Ovis aries: one gene and its partners. Each later gene encodes a partner of the first gene's protein in a complex. Links are inferred from orthologs where the notes say so. Each region holds a gene or a part of one and is shown on either strand. Other genes may lie near its edges.

Region 1 (4,316 bases):
GGGTGTGGGCTGCCAGCACCTGGGGGTGCATACCAGCTTGGTGTCCCCAGTGTTTGTAAGCATCTGAAAATGTTGGTAGATTTCCTTTCCCCAAGTCCTGGGTACATGGGGTTTCAGGGTTGCAGAGCCGGGTGGATATCCGTCAGCCAGAAACATGCCCATGTGGCTGTCCCCCTATGACCACCAGCATCCTTTCTGCTCAACCTGGGTTGTACAGGTTGTGTTTTGGACATCAACTCCTGGTGGTGAGTACCGTTATCACTTACAAGCATGTCCAGGCAGCTCCATGAGGGAAATCAGTGGTCATTTAACAGCGACTGCAGAATGAGGAAAAAGTGATGAAATTGAAATCTGATGTTTTTTTTTTTTTTTTTTACAAGTCTTTGTCTGCTTTTATTTCTTGTCAGTTAATATTTAGGTGTGGAATAGCTGGATCATACAGAAAGTGTTTAACTTTTTTTTTTTTTTTAATTTTTACCTGGTTTGATTTTTTTTTTTTAGTTTTTTATTTTTTAAATTTTAAAATCTTTAATTCTTACATGCATTCCCAAACATGAACCCCCCTCCCACCTCCCTCCCCATAACATCTTTCTGGGTCATCCCCATGCACCAGCCCCAAGCATGCTAGGCAACAAGCCCACACTTAGCACCTGAACTTTTGATGCATTGAAATCCTGAAGAGTAAAACTATAGGGGCACCTTAATCCTGTGCCAGCAAGTTATGTCTCCACTTGTCAGACTCTTTGTACAGAGAATGTGTGATTTTTTTCACATGTGTGCTTTTTGGCTAATAAGAGCATCATTTAAAATTACCAAACAAATTAGAAATCTCTGACACTCTCCGCTCCTTGGACTTCAGAGTGGAGCAGCATTTTTTTAGGCACTTTTAGTCCATTTTCTTCCCTTAATGCGTCAGAAATGAGAATTGTTGTTGTTGCTTGGTCATGACAGACTCTTTTTGACCCCATGGACTGCAGCACTTCAAGCCTCCCTGTCCTTTACTATCTCCTGGAATTTGCTCAAAGTCATGCCACCCAACCATCTCATCCTCTGCTGTCCCCTTCTCCTTCCACCTTCAGTCTTTCCCAACATCAGGATCTTTTCCAGCGAGTCGACTCTTCACATCAGGTGGCCAAAGTATTGGAGCTTCAGCTTCAGCATCAGTCCTTCCAATGAATATTCAGGGTTGATTTCCTTTAGGATTGACTGGTTTGATCTCCTTGCTGTCCAAGGGACACTGAGAATTGTAACTGGGCAGAAACTCTATGTGGCATTGGTCTCGGAACTCAGGGGCTGGCAGTTGTCAGGGAAGTCTAATTCCTGAAGTCCTATGAACTCAACCACTGCCCCAATGTCAGCTTGGCATTTGGGCAGGTAGTGCTGGGGTTCACCAGCATGAAAAGTGGGACCTGCCACCCACAGGGCTATGGTGCATAAATCTGATCTCAATTCAAAAATCAGAAAGCCTTGATGGGCTACAAACCTATACATGGAATTCTTACTTTTTCTCCAGGAAGTAGGAAATGATAAATCTCTTTGGTCAAAGTTTTCTTCACCTGTGCTAATGCTGTTGCTGTGTAATGCCTCAGCCGTGGCGTTTTTACTAAAACGGGCTTTTCAAAACCCATACTTGTCTTTGAGTTTAAGCTTGCACTCCTCACTGCACTGCAGGCCGATAATCGAGATATGAGTCGCTGGGGCAAGGAATAACTGCTTTATTCAGAAGGACAGCAGACCAAGAAGATGGCAGGCTCATGCCCCAAAGACCCATCTTGCCTGTGTTAGAATTCAGACTTTTTTATACTAAGAGGGGAAGGGATAAGTCAAGCATTTCCTGGTTCCCATCTGCCTCTAGAGGGGTGTGTTAAATTCTCCCTCCCAGCAGTGGAGGAAGGGCCTGGTCAGGATGTTTCCTGTGAATTAAACAAACATATTTTAGCTGAATGCTAATAGCTGTGGAGCAGGATTCCCAGAGATGGGGCATTACGTATAATTTAAGCTTATACTCAGCATCCCTTTAGTGATTAACTTGTAATAGAATACAAAATGTTCTTCCCTATTACATACTTACCAATTTACTTTTGTAAATCACTTCAGTTGAAGTGCTATAGTAAAGTCTTGAGCTCAAAGACCTGATTTCTTTGTGTCCATAGCAACTTGAACCTCAGTTGCCTCATCTGTAAAATGGGAATAGTCATTTCTGCCCTGACCATTGCTGGGTTGTGACAAGGATGTTCAAGACAGCTCTGTGTGATCTCCTGACAGTTTAAGGAAGCATAAGGAAGCTGTGGCTTTGCTAAGGAAACAGAGTCCTTTGGTGGGTCATTTTGGATCCTGAACCCTCATTATCTGGGCCAAAGTTATCTTGTTAGGTAGACAATCAAGTCATTCTCATACCAGAAAGTATGTGCGTTTGTGTTTTATACATGACTATCCACCCAATCACCATCTCTGCTCCTATATAGTTTTGGGAAAGAGAATTGCAAACAGTATGAGAAAAAATCCTTTGACCACACTTTGCCCTCTGTCTCTGTTGCTTGAGATGATAAACAAATTGCATTTCCCTTATGCCTTATAAACAGTTAAAATTAATAAATACAAATAAAGGGAAAAAATGCACCCCGTCTCCCTTCCACACTTTTTCCCCTGATGATGGGAACTTGGTTTCCAGGTGACTGATGCCGTCCTGCTTACCCCTTTTCTGCCAGGTCGGTGGCCACACAATGCTGCCCATTCGCTGGATGCCCCCAGAGAGCATCATGTATAGGAAGTTCACCACCGAAAGTGACGTCTGGAGCCTGGGGGTCGTGTTGTGGGAGATCTTCACGTACGGGAAACAGCCCTGGTACCAGCTGTCGAACAACGAGGTGCGTGTGTGGTGAGCAGCATCAGGATGCCTGGAGGGCTGACACTGAGAGATACCCCTGGGCTGGAAGCCAGGAAATGCTCTCCTGTGGCGTCCCTGTGGCTTTGTTGGGAGCAGCACCTCCCCATGGCCTGCCATGTACCTAAGTATCATGGTCATTCTCCAAACGTAAGAGTTCTGGAAAGAGAAAAGCAGAGCATTTGCTGATGTGCCTGTGATTCTCTGGTGCGGGGATCCAGGAGTCATTTCGTGCTGTTCATCTAGGAAATTGATAGCAGATGTGGCATTTTGGCACCCTGAGAGTCCAGCTAGCTCTTTTGGTATTATTCCAAGAAGCTTTCAAGCTTCTCTCCTTTTTTGCACATTTCACTGGTACATTACTTCTAGTGAAAAACTCAGGCATTTTGTTTTTCTTTTCTAATCCTTTTGCAATTATGTCTATATTTAAACATTACTTCTTGATCAGGCACCTCACTTCTCCAGGTCCAAGTCTGTCTTTTTTCCAATTCCATGATCCAAAATGACTGCTCATTTCTGTACCCTATGATTCCCTGGCACAAAAGTGACCCTGGTTCCATCTCAGGCCAGTACAACTGAAACCCATTGGAATTCCAGGGTGTGGTTTAGGAAGATTCCATCTAGATAAATTATTTCTCCGCCACTTTGATGAAATCAGTGTGACTTGAAAAATGGATATGAACCCATCAAATTAACCATGATATGCAAACCTAGAACAATTGCTTTCTTCCTTCTGAAAAAAGAGAAAGAAAGAAAGAAAAACACTGAGTGGGTTTCTTTAAAGCAACCCTCTCTCTGTACTGACATTATTGCATCCACATTGATTTTCCTCTAGTCTGATCCTGTCTCTGTGCTCCATTCCATCTAGGTGATAGAATGCATCACTCAGGGCCGAGTCCTGCAGCGACCTCGAACATGCCCCCAGGAAGTCTACGAGCTGATGCTGGGGTGCTGGCAGCGAGAGCCCCATATGAGGAAGAACATCAAGGGCATCCACACCCTCCTTCAGAACTTGGCCAAGGCATCTCCAGTCTACCTGGATATTCTAGGGTAGGGCCCATTCCCCCAGACCAGTCCTTCTGAAAGCACTTCCTCAGTTGGGCCGAGAGGATGAACGTCTTTTAACTGCCGCTCGATGCCATCAATCCGCTGTTCTTTGCTCTGACAGTATTAACAACAAAGACACTGAGAAGCTTTCCGAGGGAAGCGACGTGTACTTCTCCACCTGTAGACACAGTATGGACTTCTTTTTAGCATTCTCTTTCTCTCTTTCCATCTCCCTTCATTTATTCTCTAGTTTCCACCCCCCCTTTATTTTTTGTCTTCCTTGCTTTACAACCCCTACCTTTTCTTTTTTAATCAATCTGGCTTCTGCATTACTATTAACTCTGCATAGACAAAGGCCTTAACAAACCTAATTTGTTATATCAGC
Region 2 (4,912 bases), on another chromosome or scaffold:
AGAGAAAACTCTTACCTCTAAGGAGAGCAGAAAGGATTTTTTTCCCTGAGATAATGAAAAGAAGGTGAATATAAAACAGGAATAGAAAATTCAAGGGAATTAAACAAGGTAATTAAGAGTGATCAGTAGGCAAAACCATTCACTAAGAGGCTGTCAGATTGGGGAATCCAATGAGTGAGAAAATGAGAAGAGGGAGCCTGAGCCAGTGATTGAGGAAAGCAAGCCTCAGAGAACGTATCAGGTAAATAAAAGGATTTCAAAGGTGTAACCCCATAACAGCCGCATTTCCCCCAAACACTGTGAATTGATTGGATGCCAGTAAGAAGGAAATTCTAAAATGCAAAGGAGGGATTTGAGTTCAAATGCTAAAAGAAAGATGATTTCCATTTTTCTTTTAGTATATAAATCCTAGTGAAACCTTTCAGAGAATAATAATGTGGAGGGGGTTAGAATTGTGAAGAGACTGTGGACTGGAAAAAGAAGAAGGAAAATGAGAAGTCGGGAAAACTTTGGATGAACAAAGCAAGGGTAGAATGACTGTGAACATCAGACTATTAAATTTTTACTTTTGAAACTACATTTGTAAACTTGGATAATAACTATGCATAAGTGGTATTTGGTTGCAATAAAAACTACAAAGTCAGTTACATATTTGTCTTGTGTGGTGAGATGAAGAGTCAGGCCAGGAGTCAGACAACATAATGTTGTGTCTGGTCTTTGACACTGACCATCTCTATGCTCTAGTCATCTCATCTGTCTGTGTCAGCTTCTACATCTGTAAAGTGGGCAGAATGCCAGTTATGCCTATTTCAGATGAACTTGCACAAATCGGATTTGAGTATACATGAAAACACTTTGTATGCTGTTAAATGCTATGAAGCATAAGATAAGTACAGACTTTTTCTGTGCTTTCTACCAGCTCACAAAGACGTTTCTTTCTCTTTGTCATTGTTCAATCACTCAGTCACATCCAACTCTTTGTAACCCCATGGACTGCAACATGCCAGACTTCCCTGTCCTTCACTATCTCTTGGAGTTTGCTCAAACTCATGTCCATTCAGTCGATGGTGCCATCCAACTATCTCGCCCTCTCTTGCCCCCTTCTTCTCCTGCCCTCAATCTTTCCCAGCATTTCAGGGTCTTTTCCAATGAGTCGGCTCTTCACATCAGGTGGCCAAAGTATTGGAGCTTCAGTTCAGCCTCAGTCCTTCCAATGAATATTCAGGACTGATTTCCATTACGATTGACTGGTTTGCTTTCCTTGCTGTCCAAGGGACTCTCGAGAGTCTTCTCCAGCACCACAGTTCGAAAGCATCACCCAACCATCCAGCAGGATGATTCCACTCCTCATGTTGGACTTGTCGCATCATTCCACCCACTACCTACAACTGATTGGATCAGGATTGAACACCGAATCCTAGATGGACCCATTAGATTCTCTCTTCTGAGAATTTAGAATTGGGACCAAGATTATCCAATTAGAAATGGTCATCTGAACAGAAATATCAACTCTGGAGTACTAGGTTGGCCATAGGCTGCCTGCTGAGAGTATGGAGAAGTAGAGAGTCTTTCTCTTGTCTAGAGAGAGAATAAGGCTGATAGGAAGGGAGAAACTGTGATGAGAAGGCACAGGTTAATACTTCTGATAGCTGCACAGCTCTGGGATCTTCCTGCTGAGGCCTGACTATTTTATTGCTTCTGTAAAACACTCCTGTGTCCTACAGATAAAATCCTTTTTTTTTTTTAACATATTATGGCTCAAGCATTTTTCTGTAATTTGCAACTAAAGAATCTTAGCTAAAGCAACACAGTGGATTTAATAGCTTCCCCCTCCAAAAAACATCATACCTACCCAGAACTTCAGAACGTGTCCTTATACGGAAATAGGATCTTTGAAGATATAATTAATTAAGATGAGGTTTTTGGGCTAGATAATAGTGGTGACTGGGGTTTTCATGAGAATACAATAGGACACAAGAAATATACACAGAGAAATCCATGTTGAAATGACGGCGGGCAGAGGCTAGAGTTACGCTGCCACAGGCCAAGGAATGCCTGAGATCACCAAAAGTTTGAAGAAACAGAAATTCTTCCTGAGATCCTTCAAAGGGAGTATAGTCCTGCTGATACCTTGATTTCAGACTTCTGGCCTCCAGAACGGTGAGAGAATAAATGTTTTTTCTAATTTATTTGTTTTTTAATTGAAGGATAATTGCTTTACAGAATTCTGTTGTTCTCTGTCAAACCTCGACATGAGGGAACTCAAACAGGGGTCTGTATCAACCTAGAGGGGTGGGATGGGGAGGGAGATGGGAGGGAAGTTCAAGAGGGAGGGGACATATGTATACCTATGGCTGATTCATGTCGAGAATAAATTCATGTTGGTTTAAAGCCACTCAGTTTATGCTGCTTTTTACAGCAGTCCCAGAAAACTGGTACAAGTATTATAGGATGGGATGTTCAAGCTCTGTTATAGAAAGGTCCAGGCTCTACACTAAGAAGAAACCCTTGAATCTCGTAAGTGCCTTTTAAGCCCACAGCCCCTTTCTGAGAAATAGGCCATTTGCAGTTTGTTCTGCATAAAGCTGTTCTATTTCTTGCCAGGTGAAACAAACCCTACTACTCCGGCTACACTTGGTTGGAGCCAAAGTCCCATGGGAATGGGCTAGCCAGAAGGAGGCCAAAAAGAGCTTGGTGTCACTGTGTATTGGACAGTGACAAATGGACTCAACCAGGAAACGTAAATACTAAATGAACAGTAGGCAACAATCCAATCCATGCTGAGCCTTTGTTTTATTTCTCCATGAGCCTATAGATCATCCCTGTCTGGGAAGCTCTGTGACCAGGAATGGCTGCCCCGGTGACAGGGGGCTCCTCATGCTGCTCTATGAGTCCCAGCTCTAAACCTCCATCATCAGAGACCATTCGGGCATGCTTCCTGTTTCAACCTGTCTTAGTCTGCTCAGGCTGCCATGACAAAAAGCTATAGACTATGATCTCAACATCAAAAATTTATCTCTCACAATTCTGGAGGCTGGGAAAGCCAAGATCAAGGTGTGGACCCATTAAATTCCTAATGAGGGCCCTCTTCCTGGCTTGCACATGACCACCTCCTTTGCTCTGTTCTCACAAAGACTTTCTTTGGTGGGTGCACACAGAAAGAGAGAGAGAGTTCTATCCTTCTTTTTTTCTTTTTAAAATTTTATTTATTTATCTTTGGCTGTGCTGGGTCTTCGTTGCTGCACAGGCTTTTTTCTAGTTGTGGTAAGTGAGGGCTACCCCCTAGTTGTGGTGCCCGGGATTCTCACTGAGGTGGCCTCTCTTGTTGCAGAGCAAAGGCTCTAGAGCAAGGCTTAGTCGCTGTGCACACCCTTAGCTGCTCTGTGGCATGTAGGATTCTCCCCTATCAGGGATCAAACCTGTGTCCCCTGCATTGGCAGGCAGATTCTTTACCACTGAGCCAGCAGGGAAGCCCCTCTATCCCTCTCATTATGCTGCTGTTTTTTAGTTACTAAGTCGTGTCTGACTCTTTGTGACCCCATGAACCCCATGTGACCCCACTAGGCTCCTCTGTCCATGGCATTTCTCAGACAAGAATACTGGAGTGGGTTGTCATTTCCTTCTCCAGGGGATCTTCCCTGGAGAATCTTCCCAACCCAGAGATGGAACGTTTCCTGCATTGGCAGGTGGATTCTTTACCACTGAGCCACCTGGGAAGCCCTCTTCTTATAAGACCACCAATTCTGTTAGATTAGGACCCCAACCTATGACCTCATTTAACCTTAATTATCTCCTAAAAGCCCTATCTCCAAGTATAATCACATGGGAGCCTAGGGCTTCAACATATGGATGGCAATAAAGACTAAGCCTACAGTACTCAAGAATGAATATGATGATCACGAAGATTTAATATTCATTTTGGGGGATGGGAGTGCAAATTAAAAATTTGTCCCCAATTTTGCCACTATTTCTCCTCCTTCACTCCTTGGTGATGTCACATAAAATCCCCAGTTCCCTGAGGTCTCCCTTTCAGAATGTCTGCTGGAGAGCATGTTTCATGGTATTGGCCCAGTCCTGCTAGAAGGCAAAAATGTGTTCTTGAAGTATACACACAGAGTCACTGATTTTTCTCCTTATTGTTTTGTTAGAGTCTTTTTACCAAACAGCTGGTTCATTCTTGACTCCAATGCAAAAGTTACACTGAAAGACAATCTAGGATTATTTCTGTCACCTTGCCAAGTCACAAAGTGCTTCTAAATTATAAATTATTATACATACATGTATATGTACATATACACATTTAAGAATATATATTTATATTATACATATATTTATAGATATATTTTATGTGTATTACACACACACATATATGTATGTCAATTATACTTCCTATGTATCTGATATTGTACTAAGTGATTTACATATTTCAACAGATTTTATCCTTACAACAATTTCAGGCTGTATTACTATTTTATAGTCCAGAAAATAAAAGCACAAAGAGGTTAAATAAGTTTCCTAGGCCCATACGGCTGCTACTAATGCTAGGACTTGACCCACACAGACTGGTTTCAGAGTTCATGCCCTTAACTACTATACTTTGCAGCCAAATTGATAAGCCATAGTCTCAGCTATAAGAAACTGCTAGTGTATTTATTGGGGCAAATGATGAGCAAGAGGCATAGGAAGATTGGAATCAAAACATTATTACAGAAAACATTATTTTGAATGAACCATCTCTCAGCCTACTATTTCTATATAGACTCTGATGGCCATATAGTAACTGCCAATCCCAGAAGTAAACACAACTTGCCTTGGAATAAGATGATATCAGTGAAGGGCTCTGTGTGTTAACTGTATCTGTTTCTGGACAGTGGGTCATAAACCATCTGGTATATGTGGAGAGAGGTATAAA
Region 3 (4,910 bases), on another chromosome or scaffold:
CACCTTTTTACACAGAGAGATAGAAGAAGGTACAGATTGTGGGAAGCGTTTGATAAAGGTCGAAAATAATGTAACCTTTAAATAATTTAACACTTCTCTCTGAAAGGGAGGGAAAGGCACGTTTGGAGACAGAAATGGAGACAGACACAACCCCCCCCCCACACACACACACACACACATCGCAGTGACACACACAAGACAGAGTCTGGGAGGCAGGCACAGAGCCCAGCACAGGGACCCAAAGAGGACAAGACATATGAACAGTGGACAGAGACACCCAAGGGGAGAAGGGAGAGGAGGAGAGAAGAGGGCAGCGCCCTGGGAGAGGGTAAGAGACAAGGAGAGGGGGCAAAGACCCAGAGAAGGGGGCAGAGATCCAGAGGAGAGGGACAGGGGACACAGATGGGACAGGGACCCAGACAGAGGGAGATAGAGACCCGGAAAGTCTCTATCTCACCCCTACTACCCCATAGGAGAATGGAAGTTCCATAGACTTCTTCTGGTAGGGGGTGGGGCAGGTAGGATACTTAGGGATGGGGGAAGCCTGGAGAGGTCTGGGAAGTGACTCCAGTGGACGCTTCTGTGGGCAGGGCCCCTCCCCCATCCCAATAAACAACCGCAGCCACCTTGGCCCGGGATGGGGAGCAGAGAGGGGAACACCCTAATCCGGGGACACCCTTCCTGCCACCTTGCCATGCTATATTTAGGCTGACGGAGGGGTATGGGATGACCCCTGCCCACCCCACCCACCAAGGCGAGTGTCAGTTTTCCTTCTGAAAATAGCTCCAGGGGAGGGGTGAAGCAGTTAAGTCTGTCCCGGGGACTCTCAGCTCCTGTCTGAGTCTCCATCTGTCTTGAGGTCTCTCTTCCTCTGGGCTTCTCTCCCCTTCCTCAATGTGTCTGTCCCCTCTCCTGGTCTCTGCCTTCTCTCTGGGTGGGTATCTCCCTCTTTCTCTAGGAGTCTGTTCCCTTTTCTTCTCCCCATCTCCCTTCATCTGTCACTATTCACTTTCTCCAGGCAGGTCATTCTGTTCCCAAACCATATCTTTGTCTCCGAGTCCTAGAATACCTTGAATTTCTCTTATCTGAAACTCAGGACAAGACCCTCTCCCCAGTCCCCACCCAGGAAATTCCAGCAGAGAGGACTTATGTGGGAGAGACCCCCGCATCTACCGTCTCCCCGGGGCCTCGGGGCCTTATCACTCCGCGAGCCCAGCTGGTTAATGTCTGGCCTGGAGCTCCTGGGAGACTCGGAGATGAGAGCAGAGGGTGGGAATCTGCCCGGGGATTGACACTAAACTGGCTAGAGAACGCAAAGGAATCTCAGGCCCAGACTCCTGGGTCTGCGGAGGAGGGGGCTTGGGGTCTGGACTCCTGGGTCTGAAGGAGGAGGGGGCTTGGGGTCTGGACTCCTGGGTCTGCGGGGGGAGGGGGCTGGAGCTGAGGAAGAAGGACTGGGTTGGGGGGAGTCCTAAGGAGGAGGAAGCTTGGGGGCCCAAACTCCCGGCGTCTGCGGGAGGAGGGGCTGGGGGTCCGGACTCCCGTGTCCGCGGGGAGGAGGGGGCTGCGGACCCGGACTCCCGAGTTTGAAGGGAGGGAGGTGGGGGCTGGCGCCTGGCCTCCTGGGACTGAGGCGGGCTGAGCGAGCCAGGCCGGGCTTCCGAGGTCTCGGCACGCGTGTGGAAGGCGGGATCCCCCGGCCCCTCCTCCGCCGTCGGGCGCCGCCCCGCCCCCGCCCCCGACCCGGGCCCTCCGGGGCGTGTGCAGCGAGGAGCCGGCGGGCGAGCGGGCGTCCCTACAGCCAGCGAGCAGGAGGAGGAGCCGCCGCCGCGCCGGAGACGGCCGGGGGAGCCGAGGAGGGCGCCCCAGGTAAGCGCCTCCGCGCCTCCTCCCCCGGGATTCCGGCGTCCGGGTCGCCCGGCCCCCGGGTAGGGAGGGACGGGGGCGGGGCCGGCAGGGGCGGGGCTTGGCGGAGGAAACTGAGGCAGGAGGGAAGCGTCTGAGACGGACAGTCCGCGACCCCCGGAGCGGTCTCAGGAGTCCCGACCCCCAGGCTTAAACTTCCCGGGAGAGGAGGGGCCGGGGAGCCCGCGCTTCTGAGTGCCTGGGAAGGATGGGCTTGGACCCCAGAACTCTCGGGTCTGAAGGAGGACGGCACTGGGAGTCCGGACTTCTGGGTCGGAGGGAGGAGGGGTTTGGGGCGCCTGACTCCTGCATCTGCGGGCCGGAGCTGGTGACCTGGGTTCCTGAAGGAGGAGAGAGCTGGGGAGCGGGGCTTTGGGGTCTGAGCGAGGAGGGAGCAGGAGCCTGGACTCCTGCAAAGGATGGGGTGGGGGAGGTGGGCCGCCGGCCCCCACGACTCCAGGTCTGACGGAGAAGGCACCTGGGAACCAGGACTCCTGGTCTGAGGGAGGAAGCAGCTGGGAACTCACGCTCCCGGCTCTGGTTGGGTCAGCATGTACTCCTCTTCACACTTTCCCCTTCTCGTTTCCCTATCTCCCAGCCAGGGCAGGCAGCCACTCCAGGTATGTGCAGTAGAAGTCTTGGACGGGCCCTGGCCTGTCCTGTGAGCGGAGAACATTCCAGGAAGCAGCCAGGGGGACCCAGGGCTTCTTAAGTGTGGGCCCTCGGGGACCTGGGTGTCCAGGCCAGCCCCGCCCCCGCCCCATCTGTGAGATGAATGGGCCGAGGAGGATGTAATCTTTTCCAGCCTCCTTCATCCTCAGCCTCTCCCCTCCCCTCCCCTCCCCTCTCCTCCCCCCATCTGCTTTCCATCCAGGAGCTATCACCTGGGCAGAGCAGGGGCCTCTGGGAGGGGCTGCAGCCTTGACTCTCGGTCCCCTACACTTTCAGAGGAACACTGAGAAGCGGAGTGTTCAGGGGTTCAGGCCCCCTCCCCCACCTGCCTCTCTAACCTGCCTGTTCCCTTCTTCCCCTAGGTGGTTGCCCCCTCCCTCTCCTGAGATGTCACGAAGGAGGGGGCCACCTGTGTCCCCAACAGGGGCCCCCCGGAGCCTGGGGGCCCCCAGCCCCGGAGCTCGGAGGTGGAGGAGGTGCTGACAGGTCCGGTAACCACCCACTGCTTCTCAGTCCTTTCCCAGAACCCACAGGCTTCCAGAATGTTCTAGAGAAACTTCAGCATCTATGCCCCCACCAGCATCTCCCAGCCCTGGCCCAATTTCATGGATAGGGAAACCGAAGCCTCACCTGGGAGGAAGTGTCTTACCTTCTTACAGGCAGTTTTAAGCTGAACTTGGGTCTCCCTGGAATTCCAGGGCATGACTGTTCTCAGAAATTTTGGAACTTCAAGCCTCATCCAGGCTGCAGGACTTAGGGTTCCTTGGGGTTATGGAGGCAAAATGGCAGAGTGGAGTTGCTGGGACATGTTTGGAGTCCCACCTCTGGCATTTGCTGGCTGTGTGACCTGGTACAAGTTACTAACCTCTCTGAGCCTGTATTTCCCCCTTTATTGGCTATTATTACTAAAGAAGAATAATTATGATTAATCTAGAGGTTGGGCATTATCAAAGTCCTAAAATATAGGGGTCCTCCAAGCTTCTAGAACCTGTGGTTCTGTCATGCAGATGTCCCTGGAGTTGCCATGTGTCCCCCCACGAAGTTATCATCCTAATTCTAGCTTCCCTCTGTCTATCCTTAGGTGTTCAGCGAGATGCTCCCCCACCCCTCAGGCTCCCTCCCCATCCTCCTGCTTTTCCTCCTCCCCAGTGTCCCGATGGAGCCCCACCCCCCACCCTCACCCCTGCCCCCATTTCCAGCCCCTGAGTGGGACCTCTTGTCCCCCCGGGTGGCCCTGTCCAGGGGTACCCCCACGGGGCCCCCTCTGCTCTTTCTGCTGGAGTCTGGGGCCTTTGGGGAGCCAGCCAGCAGCCCAGCTAACCGCAGTCGGCGAGGGGTGAGCGAGACAGCACCAGCCAGTCGCCGTGGAGAGCTGGCCGTGTGTGATGCAGTCAGCGGCTGGGTGACAGACCGCCGGACTGCTGTGGACCTGCGTGGGCGCGAGGTGGAGGTGCTGGGCGAGGTGCCTGCAGCTGGCGGCAGTCCCCTGCGCCAGTACTTCTTTGAAACCCGCTGCAAGGCTGCCAGTGCTGGGGAAGGTGGCCCTGGTGGGGGTGGAGGAGGCTGCCGGGGTGTGGACCGGAGGCACTGGGTGTCTGAGTGTAAGGCCAAGCAGTCCTATGTGCGGGCATTGACGACTGATGCCCAGGGCCGTGTGGGCTGGCGATGGATTCGAATTGACACCGCCTGTGTCTGCACGCTCCTCAGCCGGACTGGCCGGGCCTGAGACCCAGGCCCAGGAACTGGGCAGGTAGAGGAAGAAGGAACTGGATGCTGAAGGACCTCAGGAGTAGCCTGGTTGCTCTAGGCCTCAGTCTGGGAACTTGTCAAATGGTCACACAAAATCACAATGCTCCGGTTTTGAGAGCTCATTCTGGGAAAGACAGATGATGAAACCAAATGGGGTTTTGAAGGATGAATAGGAGTTCTCCTGGATGAACTTGAGGGTAAAACGAAGATGATGATGATGATAGCCAATATTTCCTGAGTGCCTACTGTTTATGAACTCTAATACAACTTGTCAGATCAACTCTGGTGGATTTGACCATTGGAGTTCCTCAGCTTCTAAGCTGCTGACCATGTGATCTCAAAGGACATCACTTTGCTCATCCTGAAGAGAGTGACAAGGAGGGGATACTTAGGGGGGATTATAAAACTGGGGGGATTATAAAAACTGGAATAAGTAGGCAACTAGTTGGGAGCTGGGGTTCAAATAAGAAACCTTATTTGGTCAGAGGGGGCAAATGCTTAGAATGCTCTGTTTTGAGGTAGTGAGCTACCTATGACAGGAGTACAAGCAAAGTTGAATGACCAGAGGTCAGGATGCTTAAGAT

What was found. The genes of interacting proteins can lie anywhere in the genome.
Region 2: the proteins of NTRK2 (region 1) and FRS2 are in contact, whole or in part, in an NMR structure (PDB 2MFQ), measured with the Homo sapiens proteins. The link is inferred for Ovis aries from reciprocal best matches to the Homo sapiens genes NTRK2 and FRS2. Residues at the interface, in NP_001018074.1 of Homo sapiens: Pro498, Asp499, Val501, Ile503, Gly504, Met505, Thr506, Lys507, Ile508, Pro509, Val510, Ile511, Glu512, Asn513, Pro514, Gln515, Tyr516, Gly518, Ile519; in NP_001036020.1 of Homo sapiens: Val26, Asp27, Asp28, Asp29, Gly30, Tyr59, Leu60, Cys61, Leu62, Arg63, Arg64, Tyr65, Gly66, Tyr67, Asp68, Ser69, Asn70, Leu71, Phe72, Ser73, Gly77, Arg78, Ile86, Ala88, Lys90, Phe98, Gln102, Met105, Gln106, Ser109.
Region 3: the proteins of NTRK2 (region 1) and NTF4 are in contact, whole or in part, in a crystal structure (PDB 1HCF), measured with the Homo sapiens proteins. The link is inferred for Ovis aries from reciprocal best matches to the Homo sapiens genes NTRK2 and NTF4. Residues at the interface, in NP_001018074.1 of Homo sapiens: Phe291, Glu293, Thr296, Ser297, Asp298, His299, Cys302, Pro304, Thr306, His335, Val336, His343, Gly344, Cys345, Asn350, Thr352, His353, Met379, Gly380, Trp381, Pro382, Gly383; in NP_001382418.1 of Homo sapiens: Gly81, Val82, Ser83, Glu84, Thr85, Ala86, Ser89, Arg90, Arg91, Gly92, Glu93, Leu94, Ala95, Asp98, Ala99, Ser101, Gly102, Trp103, Thr105, Tyr135, Phe137.

Annotation. Positions count from the first base shown.
Region 1 is NC_056055.1:34,669,405-34,673,720, reverse strand, and holds part of NTRK2 (BDNF/NT-3 growth factors receptor), read left to right. Parts: intron 1-2,708; coding exon 2,709-2,867; intron 2,868-3,752; coding exon 3,753-3,938; 3' UTR 3,939-4,316. UniProt on the Homo sapiens protein: Receptor tyrosine kinase involved in the development and the maturation of the central and the peripheral nervous systems through regulation of neuron survival, proliferation, migration, differentiation, and synapse formation and plasticity.
Region 2 is NC_056056.1:150,335,185-150,340,096, reverse strand, and holds the start of FRS2 (fibroblast growth factor receptor substrate 2), read left to right. Parts: upstream 1-1,812; 5' UTR 1,813-2,160; intron 2,161-4,912. UniProt on the Homo sapiens protein: Adapter protein that links activated FGR and NGF receptors to downstream signaling pathways.
Region 3 is NC_056067.1:55,321,055-55,325,964, reverse strand, and holds NTF4 (neurotrophin-4), read left to right. Parts: upstream 1-1,810; 5' UTR 1,811-1,869; intron 1,870-2,939; 5' UTR 2,940-3,063; intron 3,064-3,658; 5' UTR 3,659-3,670; coding exon 3,671-4,303; 3' UTR 4,304-4,606; downstream 4,607-4,910. UniProt on the Homo sapiens protein: Target-derived survival factor for peripheral sensory sympathetic neurons. May promote ameloblast differentiation and subsequent reduction in proliferation of ameloblasts.